Linked DNA regions of Saccharomyces cerevisiae S288C. The gene in region 2 interacts genetically with the main gene of each other region. Each region holds a gene or a part of one and is shown on either strand. Other genes may lie near its edges.

What was found.
Region 1: mutations in RSA3 (region 2) and URB2 are lethal when combined (synthetic lethality), as found in Saccharomyces cerevisiae (2 studies listed by BioGRID, with this or other methods).
Region 3: mutations in RSA3 (region 2) and VRL1 together harm fitness more than expected from each alone (negative genetic interaction), as found in Saccharomyces cerevisiae (2 studies listed by BioGRID).

Annotation. Positions count from the first base shown.
Region 1 is NC_001142.9:505,606-515,389, forward strand, and holds URB2 (ribosome biogenesis protein URB2), read right to left. Parts: upstream 8,159-9,784; coding exon 4,634-8,158; downstream 1-4,633. Other genes in the region: MLO127 (Mlo127p), read left to right, coding at 1-1,696; GEF1 (Gef1p), read left to right, coding at 2,141-4,480; NUP85 (Nup85p), read left to right, coding at 8,450-9,784.
Region 2 is NC_001144.5:575,422-582,503, forward strand, and holds RSA3 (Rsa3p), read right to left. Parts: upstream 3,604-7,082; coding exon 2,941-3,603; downstream 1-2,940. Other genes in the region: MSC3 (Msc3p), read left to right, coding at 1-916; CCC1 (Ccc1p), read left to right, coding at 1,404-2,372; U3 snoRNA-associated protein UTP13, read right to left, coding at 3,897-6,350; IFH1 (Ifh1p), read right to left, coding at 6,812-7,082. UniProt on the Saccharomyces cerevisiae protein: Required for efficient biogenesis of the 60S ribosomal subunit.
Region 3 is NC_001145.3:261,848-267,254, forward strand, and holds VRL1 (Vrl1p), read left to right. Parts: upstream 1-2,693; coding exon 2,694-4,907; downstream 4,908-5,407. Other genes in the region: lactoylglutathione lyase GLO1, read right to left, coding at 1-838; YML003W (uncharacterized protein), read left to right, coding at 1,636-2,508; Rab family GTPase YPT7, read left to right, coding at 5,327-5,407.

The DNA.
Region 1 (9,784 bases), on a different chromosome or scaffold from region 2:
TTTTTTGACTGTACTTGTTCTGAATGATGAAATAACGGTATTTGATCATTGCAACCGTTTGAAAAGCCAGAAAGTAGTTTTCCATAGACTTTCTGACTTAGCGTCCATTTTCCTATATGAATACGAAAGCACGGTCTACATTTTCATGTCTGACACCGAAGGAAACCTTTGCGTTATGAAATTGGCAACTTTTGAGATCGTAGAAGAGGTTAAAATTTGCAAGAAGAAGTTACAGTTCTGTGAAGTCCCTAACTCAGATTATTTTTTTATATATACAGCCGATACTATAATTTTTTTCAAGCCAAGTAAAATAAAAGGTAGATTTAAAATCCAAGAAGTATATGCACCATGTCCTATAAGCTGTTTGATACCTGGAGAAAAAGATGGCTCAGTTGTTATGGTTACTTCTCAAGGTCAATTTTACGACGTACTTGTTCCTGGTGATGCCGGAAGGGCTACTCTTTGTTCTAAGTTTGAAAAAGTTTTAAAAACATGTCTCAAATTTATAACTTTGGAATCTTCATCAAGATATGTGATTGTAGCGGCCCTGCCAGTAGCAAATCCATTGCAGGACAAGTATTCCGAAATTTATGTGTATGATATTAAACAGTTCAAAAACATTTCCGCATTCAATTTTTCTAACCTCAACAATGATATCGAGAGTATAAAATATGAAAACGCTATGATATCAGATATTATTGCCGTACCCATGCTCAAAAGAACCGAAACATTAGGAAAAAGAAAGACTTCTGAGCTGTATAAGGAAGTGATTTTCAATTCATGTATCTTGGTGTCTCTAAATTTAGACTCAATAGACGGTATTGATAGTAAAAATATGAATAACCTATTATTGTTTTCATTTGATGAGGAATCGGGTTTTATTGAATTTGTTTTTGGGATTAACACGGGGTTCTCAATCAGTGGGTTACATAACTATTACAATGGATGTGTTTTGGTTTATGGGGAGTTTGTGCAAGCTTATCAACTGAACTATTCAGTTCATGATAACAAGTTCAGTATTGAACAGGTTTCAAATAGGTTGAATATTTCTGGTATTACAATAACATCATCTATATTTTTTGATAAAAGGAAGGCAAAGATGGCTAGGAAGCAGCAAAATATAGGTACATGGGTTTATTTGGAAGAAATGATTTTACTTGATGTACGGAAAGGTGTGATGAGGTTCAATGTCATCCATACAACAGACGGTAACATAGAAAAGGTTCAATTGCAGGTACAGCCTCTGAATTTATTTGAGAGGGACCTCATCAATAGCATTACCGACACCGGGAAAATGTTTACCGGTGCAGCCGCTATAACTTTCAAGAATATTAGGTATCTACTAATTTCGTACGGTGATCAAAAGCTCACGTTATTTAGTTTAAAACTTGATGGTGAGGAAGAAATAGACGAAAGAGTGTACCATGTTGCTGAGCAAGTTACAACCATCAACTCTGTAAGAACTACTGATTCCAGAATGAGCACGTTTTTAGGCGAATCTACATTTATGCCCTTATTCTTAGTAAGTACCTTGTCTAACGGTTGTTATGTGATCGGAATCCTGCATGAAGAGTCAGATATCTCATTACATATCTTATCAGAAAAGAAAGCTGTCTTCGCAAAGCGGTCGGTTCAAAAGTTCCTGGGCTTCCTCGATCCTCAAATGGATGATCACACTGTAATATCTGAAATTTAGTGTCTACGTTATGATATATACACTTACAAATTTACTTTCCTTTTTTAGTATAGTTTTCAAGTAAAATTCTTGAAGCGGTGTTGTTTTTGTTTGTTCTTCGTTTAGCAAAAGTCATTGTTAAATACACGCTATAATATGGCCATGACCGTAGGACCGAATGCTGTCCGAAAAATGATACTTATCACACATTTCAAATAAGATCGGTTTTGTAGTTCAAAGATTTCTTAAGAGCCTTTTACGTGTTTCTTAAGAAACACTTCACATTGGCTATCATTATTAGTAAATAGATTTATATGATTTTCACTTATTAAGGACAGAAATGTCGCGATTTCGAACCCATAAAAAAAGGAAAAGCACCGCCTGTTCTCCAGTCTTCATAAAAGCACACCGTATAGAAAGGGCGGTGAATGTTGATCTTGCATACTATAAAATTATTTGACACTAATGCCAACAACTTATGTGCCAATAAATCAACCAATTGGGGATGGTGAAGATGTCATTGACACCAATCGATTCACCAATATTCCAGAAACGCAAAATTTTGACCAATTTGTTACAATTGATAAGATTGCTGAGGAAAATAGACCACTGTCTGTAGACTCGGACAGGGAGTTCCTTAATTCAAAATATCGACATTACCGAGAGGTTATATGGGACCGTGCAAAAACATTTATCACATTAAGCTCTACGGCCATAGTTATTGGATGTATTGCTGGTTTCCTACAAGTCTTCACGGAAACTCTGGTTAACTGGAAAACAGGTCATTGTCAGAGGAACTGGCTACTTAATAAATCCTTCTGTTGTAACGGCGTGGTTAATGAGGTTACCTCTACAAGCAATTTACTACTGAAAAGACAAGAGTTTGAATGCGAGGCACAAGGGCTTTGGATTGCCTGGAAGGGACATGTGTCCCCTTTTATAATTTTCATGCTTTTGTCAGTCTTATTTGCTCTAATTAGTACACTGTTAGTCAAATATGTTGCTCCTATGGCTACTGGTTCAGGAATCTCAGAGATTAAGGTATGGGTATCAGGTTTTGAATACAATAAGGAATTTTTGGGTTTCTTAACATTAGTCATTAAAAGTGTTGCCCTTCCTTTGGCTATTTCTTCGGGATTAAGCGTAGGTAAAGAAGGGCCCTCAGTTCATTATGCAACCTGTTGTGGGTACTTACTCACAAAATGGCTACTAAGAGATACTTTGACGTATTCATCGCAATATGAGTATATCACAGCAGCTAGTGGAGCAGGTGTTGCGGTTGCTTTTGGTGCTCCTATTGGTGGTGTCCTTTTTGGTTTGGAAGAGATTGCTTCTGCGAATAGGTTTAACTCCTCTACCTTATGGAAATCCTATTATGTCGCCCTAGTCGCAATAACTACTTTGAAGTACATTGATCCATTTAGGAATGGCAGAGTTATTTTATTCAATGTAACATATGATAGAGACTGGAAGGTACAAGAGATTCCGATCTTTATAGCCTTAGGAATCTTTGGTGGTTTATATGGAAAATATATTAGTAAGTGGAACATCAACTTTATTCACTTTCGCAAAATGTACCTGTCCTCATGGCCAGTTCAAGAAGTGCTTTTTTTGGCGACGCTTACTGCTTTGATTTCTTACTTCAATGAGTTCTTGAAATTAGACATGACAGAAAGTATGGGTATATTGTTTCATGAATGTGTCAAGAACGATAACACCTCAACTTTTAGTCATAGGTTATGTCAGTTGGATGAAAATACGCACGCTTTTGAGTTCTTAAAAATTTTTACTTCCCTATGCTTTGCCACTGTTATCAGGGCCTTGTTGGTGGTGGTATCATATGGCGCCAGAGTTCCTGCCGGAATCTTTGTTCCTTCAATGGCGGTTGGGGCCACATTTGGACGGGCAGTAAGTCTACTGGTAGAGAGATTTATAAGTGGCCCTTCTGTTATTACTCCTGGTGCCTACGCCTTCCTGGGAGCAGCCGCTACCTTGAGCGGGATAACTAACTTGACTTTAACTGTGGTGGTAATAATGTTCGAGCTAACAGGCGCCTTCATGTATATCATACCCCTTATGATTGTAGTGGCAATAACAAGGATAATTTTAAGCACGTCTGGTATTTCTGGCGGTATTGCTGATCAAATGATCATGGTTAATGGATTCCCATATTTGGAAGACGAGCAAGACGAGGAAGAGGAGGAAACCTTAGAAAAATACACTGCAGAGCAGCTCATGTCCTCCAAATTAATTACTATTAATGAAACCATTTACCTTTCCGAGCTTGAATCTTTGTTGTACGACTCAGCGTCTGAATATTCTGTGCATGGTTTTCCAATAACTAAGGATGAGGATAAGTTTGAGAAGGAAAAAAGATGTATTGGCTATGTTTTAAAAAGGCACTTAGCCAGTAAAATCATGATGCAAAGCGTAAATAGCACCAAAGCTCAAACGACACTGGTATACTTCAATAAGTCTAACGAAGAGTTGGGACATCGTGAAAACTGCATCGGATTTAAGGATATTATGAATGAATCTCCAATCTCGGTGAAGAAGGCGGTGCCAGTAACATTGTTATTCCGTATGTTTAAAGAGCTAGGTTGTAAGACTATCATCGTAGAGGAAAGTGGAATTTTAAAGGGGTTGGTCACTGCTAAAGATATTTTGAGGTTCAAAAGAATTAAGTATCGAGAAGTTCACGGTGCGAAATTTACATATAATGAAGCACTTGATAGAAGATGTTGGTCAGTTATCCATTTCATAATCAAAAGGTTTACCACTAATCGAAATGGTAACGTTATATGATTAGACATTTATGTAATTTTTAAGGCGCTAGTATAGATTATTCAAAATTATATGATACAGACTTTTATCAATTTTTACTTGTTTAAGCTCCGTCACCCTGTTATTAAACGTGAGCAGAGAAATGCCTTTTGAAAACACACTAAAACACATAAGTTAATCTTCGCGCCATTTACCAACCTTTTTGTATTGGAGGTAAAGTGCTTTGAAATATTGTTTCCCAGGTGTGTCAAGGAAAGCGTTCAATTGATTCAACTCGTTCTGAGATAATATATCAAAAATCGCATGAATACCGGGCTGCAGACTCTTTTTTATGTTTAAACTGAACTGCGTCGTAATAGACAACTGTATATATTTCGTTAGAACCACAAGTACATTTTTTCTGATGGACTGCTTTATCAAACTTATCTTTGAGCTTAAGTTATTTTTCTGCCCATTTTGAGCGTTTGATACATTATAAGGCTCGCAGTAGTTCGTTATTAGTCTGGCTACGGCGTCTGCTGAATTTGCACACAATGTACCATCATGAATTGCTATTATTTCTAGTATCTGGCAAAGAACGGAGTTAAACAAATGGTGACGATTGGAAAATTTAAACCTGTGAACTAATAGCATATGATCTATCACTTCGATGATGTTAATAAAGCCTTCATTGATTTCATCCGTTGACTCATGGTTTACTATAAAAGCGAGAGTTTTTAAACAGAAAGGAAGCAGCATTTCAATACAGTATTGGCTGAATAGCCATGGTTTCGATACTAAGAACTCCTTGATAGCATTGAACAGTAGCAAGTATGACTTGTAGCCAAATTTTTCTATATCACAATAGGTGTAGGCTTCAAGTAAAGCTATCACAAATAGGTGATGACCAAGGTTATTGTCTCTTGCAATCCTTTTTGACATTATGATAAAAACTCTCACAAATTTTTCAGCACAAGGTTGGCTAATGGTGGAAAACGATTTAGCACTGTTCCAGAGCAGGCGGTTAAACGCATCAGGACCTTGTTTAAGACTTTCTTCCAAGCAGAACCCCAAGGCAGAATCGCACTTATCTGTATGCTCAATATTTAAGTACTCTGCAAAAATATACTCCAACTTGTTTTCTGTAAGGAGTGAATGAACCAAAAACATTTCCTGTTCTTCTGGCGCATGGTACACTTTTTTAGAATGATATCGAAGCATAATTTTGGAAAATATATCCAGAATTCTCGATTTATGCTTAGAAATATCGCCTTGTCCGGTCGTTATAATCTTGTACAATGTAGACATTGATATTCTGAAAAGGGGAATTGTTTCAGATTCAAAATTTTCAGAGTAGTTTTCCAAAATTTTAACAGCATAGCTAATTGCCATACCTTGTATATCTCTATGCTTGTTATCTGGTTTCAAAAATTTTGCGATAGTAAACCCGGCGATAATTAGTTTGCTATCACCATTGGACAATGACATTGACTGTTTAACGATATCGTAACCAGATTCTAAGAACTTCTCACTCACAGGCTCCTTTGCCTGTGACAGATGATTAGTCCAAACTTTTTCGAAAATAGATATTTTGTCTTCTATTTCCTTTTTTTCATCACCTGTCTCTGAAATGGCCATTTCGGGGCTCATTATTGTTTTCTCACATAATTCGTAGAAATTTGTTTCAATGTTGCTCTTGAAGGTCGGGCTTGACAATAAATGAAGGAGGCATTCTCTAGTAGCGGAATCAAGGCAAAATGATTCGCATGTTAGATTGTTAATGAGAGCCACTCTAACGTTTTTGTTGATGCATTGGATAGGAATTTGAATCAAAGCTTCTAGAGCGAAGGTTTGATGGTATGATGAAGCAAGCTTGTTTATTAAAGCGTACGTGATATTTGTCTCCTCAAAAATGTCATCATTTTTTAATAACGAAGATAAATTTGTCGAGTTCAATAGTAATGAATCAATTAAAGAAGAAATTTGTTCTCTTGTAAAGTTGTTGTTTACTAATGTTGCAAATTTGGACACAACAGAGTATGATAAGTTTGACTTTCTTTCTTCGTCAAGGATTTCAAAGTGCCTCATGAATTTTTTTTTTGCATCAGAAAGATCGAACGAAATATATTCTCTCAATTTGAAGCAATAAAAGAACAGTTCTTCAACATCAGCCGATGTAGTATCAAAAATATTAGAAGATAACACGTAATCGATTTTTTCTAGTTCCTCTGCAGGGACAATATCATCGTAGACTTCCATTATATGATACTTTAGGTCCCATTGAAGACTGTTATTAAATGATTCCAAAGTAAATACTTGAGATAAAATAGGCTTTACCTCATCGAGAGTTGCGCGCGATGCGCCCTCTGATAGTCCCTCCAAGCATATGCGTATTAAATATAAAGGAACCCTGTTGGTGGAATCGTGATTGACTTGGTCAAGTAAAGCTTGCAATAGATTTTTCCATTGTAAAGAAGATAAAGTGAACAATTGCTTCGTTATAGACTTGACATATGCAGGATGATTTATCAAAAAATAGGAATCGGGTCCTTTTCTGGAACAGTACTCATTTATTTTGGCAAAAAAATCTGATAATTCCCTTGCGTTAGCGTGTGATTGGATTATTAAATCCCAAATATGAGAGGAAAAGAGAGGATCGTTCAAATTTTCGAGCTGAATCAATTCAAGTAACCGAAAAATATGTTTAATAGCAACCTCGATATCCAATTTAAGGATAATTGGTATTAATGATAACACTCCAGATTCATCAGTCGACGCTAACATTTCAAGCAATAATGCTTCAAGGAACTCTTGAGATACGGTTTTCTTCGATTCCGATAAAAGATTCAGAAATCTGCATTCTAAACTAGGTTTCTTGGCACCTAAAATTGTAAAGATGACTTCTAGTTGAGCAAAATTGTCTTTTGATAAGAAAGTGACGAAAGTGGCAAAATAATAATAAGCCATATCGTCGGTAATTTCGGACGCATTCTCTTGGACAAACTTTTTATTTAATTTCATGTAATCTATGCGTGGTTGTAAAAGGAACTTTCCCATAAAATGAGATAGACGAATGAAGGATTGGTTTGAAGATGCAGAATTTTTGGTCTGTGCGAAATATCTTAAACTTGGTAGTAGCATATGCTTGCAGTAACAAGTAGCAATTTTGTTATCCGTTGTAGTAATATTGTCAACATGAGTTAGATTGCAGGCATCTTGCAAGTATGAAAGCGCAAAGTCAGTCGTCGGGCACGAACTTAATCCATTTATGGCATGTTCTAAAAGTTGAAAAGACTCTTCAACAGAAAAATTGACAATCAAGTAGTCATTAATCGCAAAAAATGCTTTTATAAACGAAACGCTACGTGTAAGTAATTTGTCTTTAGGCCAAAGGAAAAATGTTCTTATCATTACAGGCACAGTCTTCAATTTTTTGAGTAGTTTTTTTATCGAAATTGGATCATTAATAGCATCTAATAATCTCGTGAAAATTATCCAAGTATGTTCACTGGTCTTAAAATCATCCAAATTTCCATTGTTGAGCCTATCAATGAGTAAATCTAAGACGAAAATTTCTTTTTTTGGAAAGTAGGTTTCTAATTTATCAAATTTTGAAACTATCTCGGCAATTTGATGGGGTTTTGTGCTCGTCGAACGTAGTAATTTCGACAAATCTTGGGCATTGTCTGGGATAGATAGTTCTTCTGTAAGATCACCCATATTATCAAAAAGTGCAGTATACTCTCTGTTTTTCCAAAGATAATTGATGGCAAGCTAAATCTTAGACAGAGATGTTCCTATGCTAGTAAACAATTCTGTAGTTGTGACCAAGTGCCCTCTTAGCGATCATTTTGAGATGAGCTAAGTGAAATTTTTCAGATCGCGCACGACGGAGAGGTTTTTTAGTTGGATGGAAGTCAAGCCTTGTACAAATTGTAGTTGTATAGAAAACATTGAACTTACGGTCTTGAGTTGAGTCAATAAGCGTGAGCCAGAACGCAATTATCAGATATGACAATCGATGATTCAAATCGATTACTTATGGACGTCGATCAATTTGATTTTTTGGACGACGGAACGGCGCAACTTAGTAATAACAAGACCGATGAAGAAGAACAACTATATAAAAGGGACCCAGTCAGCGGGGCTATCCTGGTCCCTATGACTGTAAATGATCAACCGATTGAAAAAAATGGCGACAAGATGCCTTTAAAGTTCAAGCTGGGGCCACTTTCTTACCAAAATATGGCATTCATAACTGCAAAAGATAAATATAAGCTTTATCCTGTTAGAATTCCTAGATTAGATACCAGCAAAGAGTTTTCTGCATACGTATCAGGTTTATTTGAAATTTACCGTGATTTAGGTGATGACAGAGTGTTTAATGTACCAACGATTGGAGTTGTTAATTCTAATTTCGCGAAGGAGCATAATGCAACAGTAAATCTGGCCATGGAGGCGATTCTGAATGAATTGGAAGTGTTTATTGGTAGAGTCAAGGATCAGGATGGAAGAGTGAACCGATTTTATGAGTTGGAAGAATCTTTAACCGTTTTAAACTGTCTGAGGACAATGTACTTCATATTAGATGGTCAGGATGTAGAGGAGAACAGATCAGAGTTTATTGAGTCATTGCTAAACTGGATTAATAGATCAGACGGTGAACCAGATGAAGAATATATTGAACAAGTGTTTTCAGTGAAGGATTCTACAGCAGGTAAAAAAGTGTTCGAAACACAATATTTCTGGAAGCTTTTGAATCAGCTTGTTTTAAGAGGCCTGCTCTCCCAAGCTATAGGTTGCATTGAAAGATCAGATCTTTTACCATATTTGAGTGATACATGTGCCGTTTCATTTGATGCAGTAAGTGACTCCATCGAACTCCTGAAACAATATCCAAAAGATTCGTCCAGTACATTTAGAGAATGGAAAAATTTGGTGCTAAAATTAAGTCAAGCCTTTGGTAGTTCTGCTACTGATATTTCCGGTGAATTACGGGATTACATTGAAGATTTCTTGTTAGTAATTGGTGGAAATCAACGAAAAATTCTGCAGTATTCAAGGACGTGGTATGAGTCCTTTTGTGGGTTTTTATTATACTATATCCCCTCATTAGAACTATCAGCAGAATATTTACAAATGTCACTGGAAGCTAACGTCGTAGACATAACAAATGATTGGGAACAACCATGCGTCGACATCATTAGTGGTAAGATACACTCAATTTTACCGGTAATGGAATCTTTAGATAGTTGCACAGCAGCATTTACCGCTATGATTTGTGAAGCAAAAGGTTTGATAGAGAATATTTTTGAGGGTGAAAAAAATAGCGATGATTATAGTAAT
Region 2 (7,082 bases):
CCATGAAGTGCACAATCACTCTGTGTCTACACATTTTAAATCGAATAAGGCTGTTGACCCAGTTCCAGAGCCTAAAAGTGCAAACACAGGGCTAACAGATAAAGAAATGTATGACCAAGCTTTGAAAATCGCACAAGCGAGGTATTACAACTCACATGGTATTCAACCTGAAGCAGTCGATAATAGCACTACGGCGGCTAAACCTCGTCAGGTCGGCGTTAGCCATCTGGGATCCACTGGGAGCATCCCGCCCAATGAGCAGCACTATTTAGGGGATTCTGAAATTCCAGTCCAAAGCGAAGTGCATGAATACGAGCCCATTCCATTGCAGAAGACAAAAACAACTGGTTCTTCCAAAAATAAGTTCAAAACCATGTTCGATAAAGTGCTGCAATTCTCTCAAGAAAACTACGGCTACCAGCACAAGAAGGAACAAGGCGAACAAACTCCAGTTACTCGTAATGCTGAAGAAAGCTTCCCAGCAGCGTCTATTTCGGAAGGTGTGACAACCGCAAAGCCATCTTCAAACGAAGGTGTGATGACGAATCCAGTAGTTACAGATTCACCTTCACCCCTTCAACAACAAATAGACTCGACTACTGCGTCCTCGAATGGGCAAAGTCAGGGCAATGTACCTACCTCCGCAGTAGCTTCAACAACGAGAACAAGATCACCGGAACTGCAGGATAATCTAAAGTCTTCTTCTTCGCTTTTACAGGACCAAACCCCTCAGCGTCAGGAAGACGCCACGGATCCAACAACATCATCGACGAATGAATTATCTGCCGCTGAGCCAACAATGGTCACTTCGACACATGCCACTAAGACAATACAGGCTCAAACACAAGATCCTCCCACGAAGCACAAGAAGTCCAGTTTCTTCACTAAACTGTTCAAGAAAAAAAGCAGCCGTTAGCAGTTGTTTACTCGAATTTTGCAATCAACCCTAATTTTTGAAGCCTGGTTTTAGATTTATTCTCTTCTTTTTCTTCTTGTGAACTTCAATTACTAATGTAACTTAATTTTTAATATAACTTTTACAGTTTAATAATATTGATTTTTTTCGGTCTGGACCAATCGCGCCGCATTTCTCACTAATATTACTAACATACCCTCTTCTCATTGGCTCGGTACCCCTTTCGTGACCCGCATTTTTTGTTTTCTTTGTTAGCCCGAATGTCTCACAATGAAGATGTAAAATTAAGATTATATATGAAAAATTGATACAAAACAAAATAGTTCAAATAATCAAGTTAAAGCGACATCACTCTCAATTTTTGCTTTTTTTAGGTTTATAGAATAGAAATATAACAGAACGAAGCCTTTAGACTCTTTTTTTTTATTGGTATATTGAACAAAGAAACTTTTTTTTTGTCCTCCCATATCTCGTGCACACAAATATTATGTCCATTGTAGCACTAAAGAACGCAGTGGTGACCCTTATACAGAAAGCGAAAGGTAGTGGTGGAACCTCAGAGTTGGGGGGGTCTGAATCAACTCCCTTGTTGAGGGGTAGTAATAGCAATAGTTCAAGGCATGATAACTTATCCTCATCTAGCTCGGATATTATCTATGGTAGAAATTCAGCGCAGGATCTAGAAAACTCACCGATGTCAGTAGGGAAAGATAATAGGAATGGCGATAACGGTTCGGATAACGAAAAGGCGAACCTAGGGTTCTTCCAATCAGTAGATCCTCGCGTAATTAGCGATTTGATTATCGGGCTAAGCGACGGTTTAACCGTCCCCTTTGCTCTAACAGCTGGTCTATCTTCACTTGGTGATGCGAAATTGGTCATTACCGGTGGCTTTGCTGAGTTGATCTCAGGTGCGATTTCTATGGGCCTTGGTGGCTATTTGGGAGCGAAGAGTGAATCTGATTATTATCATGCTGAAGTAAAGAAGGAGAAAAGGAAATTTTACGATAACTCCAACCTAATTAACAGAGAAATTGAAGACATTCTGTTAGAGATTAACCCTAATTTCTCGGACGAAACAATCGTTTCGTTCATCAAAGATTTACAAAGAACACCTGAGCTAATGGTTGACTTCATTATCAGGTACGGTAGGGGTCTAGACGAACCTGCCGAGAATAGAGAACTAATCAGTGCAGTCACTATCGGTGGCGGTTATCTACTTGGTGGGCTAGTACCACTAGTGCCATATTTTTTTGTCTCAGATGTGGGCACAGGTCTCATTTATTCTATAATAGTCATGGTTGTAACATTATTCTGGTTTGGTTACGTAAAGACAAAACTATCCATGGGTAGTGGCAGTTCGACTTCAAAGAAAGTTACGGAAGGTGTTGAAATGGTTGTTGTGGGTGGTGTAGCAGCAGGTGCGGCTTGGTTCTTTGTTAAGTTACTGGGTTAAGTGTAAAGTAACAACACTATACATATTTATTGTAAAGAAATTTGGGATTGAGAAGCTTTGCTATATACTTGGAACTGGGCTGGATTTTCTCGACATACATTTCTTTTACGTTTTAATTTGTTTCTATATTCTCCTCTTTAAATTTATTTATATTAATGAATTTCAAACTAGTTTCTTTTTCTATTGCCAAGAGGCCCATCAGGTGATCCATGATAACCTTTATTCGCATTGAATCGTTTTTCATTGGATCTAATTCGTCATTTGGTCGCCGCCTTTCTTTGCTCCTTCTGCTTTTTTCTTTTTCTCTTTGACTATCAGGTCATAAGATCTTCTCCTCCATTATGCCCAAGTGTTTTTCTTTTTTTTGCCTTTATATAAATTACAAAATACATACATATACTTCTCGTGCAGTATACTGGAATCAGCTTTATACCATATGAAGCACAACTTGGATCAGGACCGCTCTTCATTAAAAATCGAAGAATTATCTAAATAATTAATGTGCACGTCAATATATTCTCCGCGGAAACATGACAAACTTTTAGAAAAAGATTTAAAGCAATATTTTTCAGTTCTCCATTTCTTTATTTTTCAAGACCAATTCTAGTTCACCAATATCAAACATTCCTATGCCTTCCTGCAGAGCATCTGCCAAAATGGATAGTGATTTATTCGTGAAATCCGGGGCAGCTCTAAGACGATTGATATCATCACCGTAGTTTTCAAAAAGTAAATTTAAGTATTCTTCCCTTAACTTTGTCTTGTCTTTCCCTTTGGGCACAAAGTTTTCTGCCAATTCATTGTATTCTTCTCTCGCAAGCTTGATATTTTCGGCAATTTTCGATGCATTCATAAAACCCTCCTTGTTTTGAGATTTCGTAGGCTCTGGGATCTTGCTCAAAGAAATTTTGGTTAAATCGTCTATCACTTCTTTTGAATTTAACTTCAAATCCTTGCTTTCTTCGTCTGTAAGCTCGACATCCGAAACTTCTATTGCAATGTCCTCTTGTTTGTCTTCGTCATTACCTTTTGAGAAAACATGATCACTTTTACCATTTTCTCCAACGTGTTCTTCGATGGCCCCATTTTGGATTTCCTCCTTTTCACTTTCTGATGATGGATCCGATGATGAAGAATCTGATGATGAAACATCAGCTGTTCTTCTCTTCTTCCTCCTTCTGTTTTTTTTGACAGACTTGATATTTATGGCTGATATATCACCTGCCGACATCCTGTATAATATATTATGGCTAGTTCTTTCCGTGCTATTTCAAGTGGGCAGTTTAAATTCTTGTATATATTACTACAATATATGAAAGTTTTCGCTCTTCGTTTTTTGCAAATTTTTAGTGATGAGCTCTTCGCGCAAAGAAGTTTTCAATGCCCGTAAAGGCACCTAATTATATATCGAATTATTTTAAGCTTTCCGCTTCATCAATGCATTTTGTCTTTATATATCTAGTTTACAAAATAATATGTTGCTATTGCCTTGCTTTTAAAGGCTCAATATCTTGGACTTACTGCCTAGAATAGCTTATCCATTTCCACTAGCGCGTAGTCTAATATGTAACTTTGTTCAACTAAGTTATCAACCCTTGTGAAATGCCTTTGCGTGTATGGAATTATTGCATCAACTATCTTTACCATTCCGGGTATCTCACTCAATTTTGCTATGTTATGATGCATCAAAATACATCTTATTGTTCTTTGCGCTATGGTATGTGTTTTTGCATTTGTATTCCAATCTCTGCATCGTTTCATTAACAAAATTAACTGTTCATCATTTAGGATAGAGATGGCTTGGTCCAATTCTTCATTGAAAATGACTTCAATTTTGCCCTCTTCGGTATCTTGTCTAGACCTTGATTCGCCCAAAGCTCTTTTCAAAACATTAAACAACCTCATTGGGTGATCTAAAGTCATTGCTAACAAAAATGCATTTGTCCAATCACCTTTGCTCATATAATTTTGAAGCGATTGTTCTTGTTCGACTTGTAATTTAGCTTTTTCTTGTTCTTCTTCTATTTCTTGTTCCGTACAATCTTTCCAAAACTGAAAAACACCATCTGCATCAGCACTTACGATCATATCACCATCATTCATAGTACTTAAAGCCCATAATCTATTATTATGACCATCCAAAGTCTTCAGACATTCACCGCTAGAACAATCCCATATTTTGATCAAGCCATCAGCACCACAACTGATCAGTTGTTTTTGCTTATTAATAAACGAACATCTTTGAACCGCATTGGTATGACCTTCCAATGTTTTCATAACGCTGAATGTATCCAATGACCATATCTTGACTGTTTTATCACCTGAAGAAGTTGCCAATAATTTATCATATTGGCAAAATGATACATCCCATAGTCCACGCTTGTGGTTGGCCAACGTGGCTTCCAATTCACCATTTTCTAGGTTCCAGATCTTACAGGTCTTGTCGTATGATGCTGTTGCAAAAATAGAATCGTTAGGAGAAACTGACAAAGCATTGATATCCTTTTCATGGGCATGACGAGTATATTCGGATACCTTGATGATTTGAACATCCATACTAGCAGTTGGCTTTGGAATTATCCATTTCTTAATTGTTAAATCATTCGATGCTGTCAATAAAAATTCAGGATATCCCTTTGAAACTATATTTGGCAATCCAACAGCAGTTACGGCAGCTGAATGACCAATATACTTGGCATAAATATCAAACTTGCAGCTGTTCTCATTGTATCTCCAAACAATAGCCGTATTATCTTTAGAGGCGGTTGCGATCCACAGGCCATCCTCAGTAGCATCCAATGAATTTAGCAAATCTTCATGACCTTCATAAATTTCGACATCCAAAGGCAGCGAAGCTTCTGGGCCTGATAAATCGGGGACGGGTATTATCCTAAGCGATGGAGAATTGGTAGCTAAAGCTAATTTATTCAGCTCTGGGCCAACATACCTCATGTCAGCAATAATACCATGATTACCAGCAATGCTCGAAGTGACCTGTATTGTGTCTTCATCATTCTTTAAGTCTTCTTCAACGTTAATTAGTTGTAATGTCTGGTCAGACAATACTAAAAACATCTGTGAATTGCTCAATATTGGAAGTACACCAATAATGAATAACTCTTCTATAGGTTTATTGGTTCTTTTAAGCACGCTACCAGATTCAGAGTCAATTAACTGAAAGATAGCATCACCGCCGGCTGTATAAATTATGCGTTTACCGTCACCATCCTTTAGGAATCCGCATGACTCTACCTGTTGATTTACTGGAAGTGTTTTCAACAATTTACATTTCTTTTTCATATTGAAATCCCAGAGATTGATGATATCGTCTCTACCACCGGAAAGTAAATTTAGGCTTGGCTCATCATTATCTGGTACCTCAATGATATCCAACCCTCTCACAGCAGATGTGTGCTCTTGTAATGTGTGCAAGCACTTCCTTTTAACAAGATCCCAAACCTTTACCATACCATTGGTGTCACCGGATGCTAATAACCATATTTTACTATTCAATTGTCCATAAAACTTCAAACTGGAAATTGTACCACCATGACCTTTGAACGAATGAGTAATGTAACCATTTTCAATATCCACAACAATTATACTACCATCTGTCCCTCCGACTGCGAGAAGCGTTGAAGTGGAATCTGCGTCGAGAATGTACGATGGAGAAGAGATTTTCATTGATCTGACAACTTTCCCGGTCTTAAGGTGAAAGATTTTTAAAAGCTGAGCTTGTGAAACATACGTGAGATATTGACCATCAGGAGTTAATTTCAGTGCAGTAATTTCTTGCTCGTCTTCATTAGAAATCTTGTGCAAAATTTTTCTGGAGCCTGGGGTTAAATCGATTATGTTGATTTCGTCAAGCACCGGAGTAGCTAGTATTTTACCATTTTCTGAAACAGTGGCAACAGCACTGCTTCCTGCATAAATAGGGTTTAACGATATACCTTTATATGAGGTTTTCAGATCCATATTGTACGTAGTATGGCTTACTACCGTTGAGAGTACTATGTTGTTGGTTCACACCTTTAATGCCATACCGCTATTATATCTGAGAGCGATGAGCTGAATTTTTCAGAAAATTTTCAGTCGCTTTACACGGATATATTAAGAAGCTCCATCTTAATCGCCAGAAGAGTGGATGAGGTTATCATCTCAACTAGAGTCGAAGAGTAAGGCAATCCATCAAATGGGGTTGCTTGAGGCTTATTTACTTTTATACGTCTGATTGGACGGATTATACCAGTAAAAAAAATATTGATTGTGTTTTTCTATAAAAATATGCATATATAAGTAAAAAAATAACATGTAATTCTTTTCAACCAACGATAAAGCAAAATTCAGAGTAGAATAAGGCAAAGTCACATACTGATGATGATATTGTAAACGAAAGGTGATTTGATTGTAGTAACCATAAAAAAATGCAAAATAGCTCATTGTAAGACGTCATTGAATTCGAATGAATGGTTAACATCATTGCCCATAATTCCTTCGATATCTGCCAATGCACTCTCACTAAATAAACCATTTTTAGTGAAACGAAGATTTTCAGCCGCTGCTTCCACCATACTTTGCCTTCTTCTCCACATGGAATTACTATTTTCATGGCTTAATGTATTGTCGAATTGCACAGGAGCGGTTAACGATGCTAGGATATCGGCGTCAGTATCTTCGATCACATGACCTTCTTGTGCATCATAACCG
Region 3 (5,407 bases), on a different chromosome or scaffold from region 2:
GGGCGCCAGCGTCATCACAACTTATGCAGATGTGACCATAACCCTGGGGCTCTGAGTTACCGTTATGATAGTGGAAGTTTGGATCATTCTCAGTTCCCCAATTATGAGTTAACTCCAACACACTTTCACATGAAAAAACGCTGTCGGTCTTTGGAACGCCATAACCAAGAAAGTATAACGTAAATTTTGCACTTTCGTGCTCACTAGTTCTTAATAATTTCATGCCCAACACATTCTGGTAGAATTCTAAAGACCGGGTTGGGTTTTTAATACGAATCATGGTATGATTGAACTTGTTACCTACTGAGCCCTTTGGGTATTCCTGACCCTCTCTAGAATATGTGATCAACTCAATCCAGTATCCATCAGGGCCTAAAGCAAACGCAATGTCCTTCTGTCTTCCTTCAGAGAGTCTCTTCTTGAATTTGACACCCTGAGATTCTAGCTCTTCGCAGGTTTTATTGATATCGGATACAGAAAAACAGATGTGCCCAAATCCACGATGAGGTTCCTCATTCCCGTTGTTGATCTTGTAGTCTGGGTTTTTTTCAGTACCCCAATTGTGAGTTAGTTCTAAGACACCGTGTGCGCTAAAAACATCAGGCTCTCCATTCTTATTTTTGGGTATGTCGTCTTTTGGAAAGCTTAAAAAGTACAAGCTAAATTTTGCTTCTTCAAAATCCTTTCTGCTTAATAGCTTCATACCGAAGTGTTCGGTGTAGAACTTAACGGTCCTTGCTGGATCCTTGACTCTTAAACATGTGTGATTAAGCAGAAGGGTTGGATCATTCGAGGCTTTCTCAATCTGAATTGGATAGCGTGTACTATCAGTGGACATTGTTAGTTTGTAGCTGGTGGCGTATCTGGTCTGAAGTGTCAAAAAAAAGGCATGGAAATGTTATTCCGATTTTTTTTCTCCCTATTTATAAACGTCACTAACTAGAAATACGGGATATCAACTACTACGAGAGAGGGACATTCTAGTATCAAAGAAACTTACTATGACGCAGTTTAGGATCCCTGTGGTGACTACGTATCCAGGTCTACTACTCCATCGTAAAGCCCCTTGTTTATTCAGTGTCCAGATCATATGCGGGATGTGTATTTTGTGCTGAGTGGAAAAATAAGATCATATGCTCAAGAATAAAGGGTTAAAGGGTATGGAAATTTCAGTTCTCCCTGGCTCAAGAACATTGTCAGTATTCCTATAACTGAAGCTGAGTGGTACTAATGCACCGAGATGCAAAGTCCGAACCACCCCCACCCCCCTCTTTACCTATTTTTTATATTTTGTGATAAAGGGATAACTCGTCTTGCCTTCACTGCGCTTCGATTCTACTTTAGCTAAACTAAGCGTTACTTTGTTTGAGAATCTCTCAGCCGTTAAATCAACGTACTTGTATACTAAACAGTATATTCACGTGATAACTTTGCCTTACACCTATGATATAGATAAATATATACATATATATGAGTGTGTGTGCATTGCGTCACTAAACTATGTTTAATATGACAGAAGGTTTTCGTTTAATTTTGCCGCTACCCGAAAATTTTGGCAGTTGCAATTTATAACTAAAGGAACCACCTTATTGTAAATTCCTCAACGGAAAAGCTATGGCTTAGCTAGGGTTGACAATGTCAGTTTACCATTTACCAACGCTGTTGAACCCGCTGGTTAATGCTATATTTAACTGTCCCGAACCAGAAAGATCCCCATTGAAAAAGCTTTTCGCTAATTTAAAAACCCGTAGGTTTATCCTCCTAGCACCTCCTTCAGAATACCTTTTGAATTACCACGATGTCAAGAGCAAACTGCCGTTACATGACCTCTGTTATAATGCAGAGTTTATTAACTCTTACATATTGTTAATGACTGAAAACTCTTACATAAATACGAATTCAAGGGACAGTCATTATGAAACGTTAGATGGTAAGACCGTTGTTATTCAATGGAAGAATAATGTGATCCATGCCTTAAATGGATTTCATATAAGGCGAAGACTAAAGATTCTAGAGACAAAAATATTACCCAATTTTAATGACTACTTTGAAGGGGCGGCTGATTTTATCATACTATTCATAGATCAACCTTTAAATTGCGAATTTGTACCTAACGACTACTTACAGTGTTTTCACAATTATGAGAAAATACCAAAAAATGCACATGCTATGCCAAATCTGTCGATAGATTCTTTTCAGCAAGAAAGATCGTCATTCGAGAATATATTGCACATTCATCCTGCTCGATTAACACAGCTTGGCCAATTGTTTTCGAGTTACAGAACGCTCGCTCCTGGTGATGATCCATCTAGAAGTATTTTTGAAAGCATCGTGCAACAAGCATTTGATGGAATGAAATCGGATTCACTTTTCAAGAACTTTTCTAATCTTTACGATCTTATACACGACTATTTTGAACTAAATCTTTACGATGATATATGGTCTAGGCTTACTACACATTTCAAAGGCCACGAAGTAGACACTGAAAAAATAAATATTTTTCAGTGAACCAGTTGTTGACAGATTTTTACTCAAAAGATTATGGGGAATTTAAATTACACGACATCACTCTTATTGAAAGGCGTCTCCATCTAGCGTCCAAACATCTTCAAAAGTTGGCTTTGACCCATTCATACGCTGAAAAATCTAAAATATTAGTTGAAACTCTACAGAAATTATCAGGTACTACCGAAATGGATTCACATCAACTAGAACTACCAGACGGATTGAATAACATGACGATGGATGCAGACACTTTAATTAGCCTTTTTGTGCTCGTTGTTTGCAGAAGTGAACAAAAGCACCTTAAAAGTCATCTTTACTATTTGCAAAATTTTTCGAATAACTCTTCTTCTACAAAATTCGGCATTCTAGGGTATGCTGTATCCACACTGGAAGCAGTGGTTTGTTATTTCGAAGACTTCAACAAAAATACAGGCAACGTGGCGAAAGCTAACACATTATGTGAAAAAACTAAGAATTTATTAGATAAGTTGTCATGTGAAAACCCCACAAATGAAGTAGAAGATCTGGCAACATACAAGGATATTTTGACCTACAGAAATGAGCAAGGACAATCCATTCTATCCATATGTATAACAAATCATAAAAACTACATCTTATTAGATATTCTTTCTGAATATGAAAACGACTTTCCAGTAGAAGACCTTTTAGAGGACGAAACGATTGATGGTTCTACGCTGCTTATAGAATCGATAAAAGCAGGAAATTTAGAAGCCGCGAAAGTTCTCATAAAGATCATGCTGTTCAATTGTACTGAAGAGGAGCTGGTTTCTTATATCAATAAAACAGATAAATATGCACGTACCGTGGCTCATTATCTAACCCATGAAATGGATATACTTAAAAGCATCGGAAATTATATTGATTGGAAACGAAAAAATTCCAGTGGACAAACGCCTTTATTTTCCATCTTTAGAAGTTATGATCAACCAAATTATGAAGAAATGGTGAAGACCGCATTTGATATCGCAAATACTTGGTATAGAAAGCACAACAGTTTGTTTGACTATCTAGACCACACCGATAATAAGGGCAATAGCTTGTTGCATGTTTTGAAAACAAACATTCCAATCCTTTTACAACTGACTAAGCTAGATATTAATGAGGAAAATTATAAGGGATTGACGCCATTAATGGTATATGTGAAGTACAAAAGACTAAGTAATATTGACGCCATCACGAAAGACCGTCGACTTATATTAGAGAAGGTTCAAAACTCGACCTTCTTCACTTGTTTTGATTATGCAAAAGATCACTCGGTACTAAGCAAGATAGGAGAAAGGGGTGTCAAAGATTCACTTTTTGGATTAATATATTTTCATTCTTTGCGATATCATAATTTAAATGCGACAACAAATATAACATCCGTTTCAAATGCAGAGAAACCTTTCGCCACTACTGTTATTAACATGAAAACAATTCAAGGCTTACTACGCTCAATTCTGAAAGACAATCCGTTCACCTTTTTGCCATTAAATACCTATATCGATGAAATATCGCACTTAAACCGTTCTGATTTAACAATAATCGGGAAAACAGATGTCACATCGTTACTTCACCAATTAACTAACTGCTTCAACGTTCTTTTATTCCTGAAAAAAATTCCAGAAAATTTGTTCACTGATGAGGCTTCTATCTTATATTGGATGCGCATAAACACTTCTAAAAGAAACCAGAAACCCTCAGGAAAAGAAAATCCAAAAACAATGGAACCCGAGGAGATTAATATGATACAAAGCTTTTTACGTTTTAATTTTGATGAGATTTCATCATTTAAGGCAAGCTTGAATATTTTGAGGAAAGTCTTAATATTTATTAATTTGAAATCCGATGATTTCGAGGATGCTTATAAGGGTCTTAACGAAATGGGTAGAAAATTAATTAATAGTGAAGCATCCAGCGCATTTAAGGGGATTATAACAAATCATAATATGTTCAGTGAATTATCGCTAGCAGCACTACTAGAAAACGTGCGTTTCTTGGAACAATGTACTATCCAACTATCTAGTTTCGTTCAGATAATTTTATTTGAAAAAATTCCGAACTGGTGGAAACATTATGGTGAGTTTTTAGCTTTACATAAAAGCTATCGGAAGGCTTTTCCTAACATGGTTAAGCCAAAAAGTGCATCAGATACCTCTAGTCGTGCTCCACTTGGTGGTTTTATTGAAACGAAGCGTGAACAATCGGAGCAAAGACTAGCGGTTCAGATAAAGGCCTCTTCAAAAATGCTCAAAGAACTTGGAAGCGAAATTTTTGTAGCTCACGAAAGGTTGGCCGAGGAACTAAGCAATTATATGGAGTTCAGGAAGGCGTGCTTAGATCAGCGTAGTCTTGTGGCATTTGCCACAACCAACATTAGCGTTCTTCAAGAATGTGTTTAAGATTGACTGAGCATTGCAATATTTTACCTTCTTCTCACTTGTTCTATAGAATTTTTTACCCAAAAATAAGAGATAAAGAGTTTGAAAGAAACATCATTACATATATATATATATACGGGCAGCTCCGTAACTCGAAAAGAGTGACAGCTGTTTTACTCTGTAATAGCTGACGATTCTTCAGTGATTGGAATAACCTCAGAACTCACCGGTACGGGTAACGTTTGTATCTCGCGGATTAACTTTTCGCATTTCGACCTACTGAGAGAAGAAGTTCCTTTTGTTAATCTGTACCTTTATCTTGAAAGCAGTCGTTACAGAGGAACAGCATTGGGAATCACCAACAAAATAAGAGGAATAAGCTCATCCAGTCCACTTCTTATCCATATAGAAACCCCTTCTGTATCAATTCAAATTAAGTGATGTCTTCTAGAAAAAAAAATATTTTGAAAGTAATCATCCTAGGTGACTCTGGTGTTGGGAAGACCTCCTTGATGCACCGT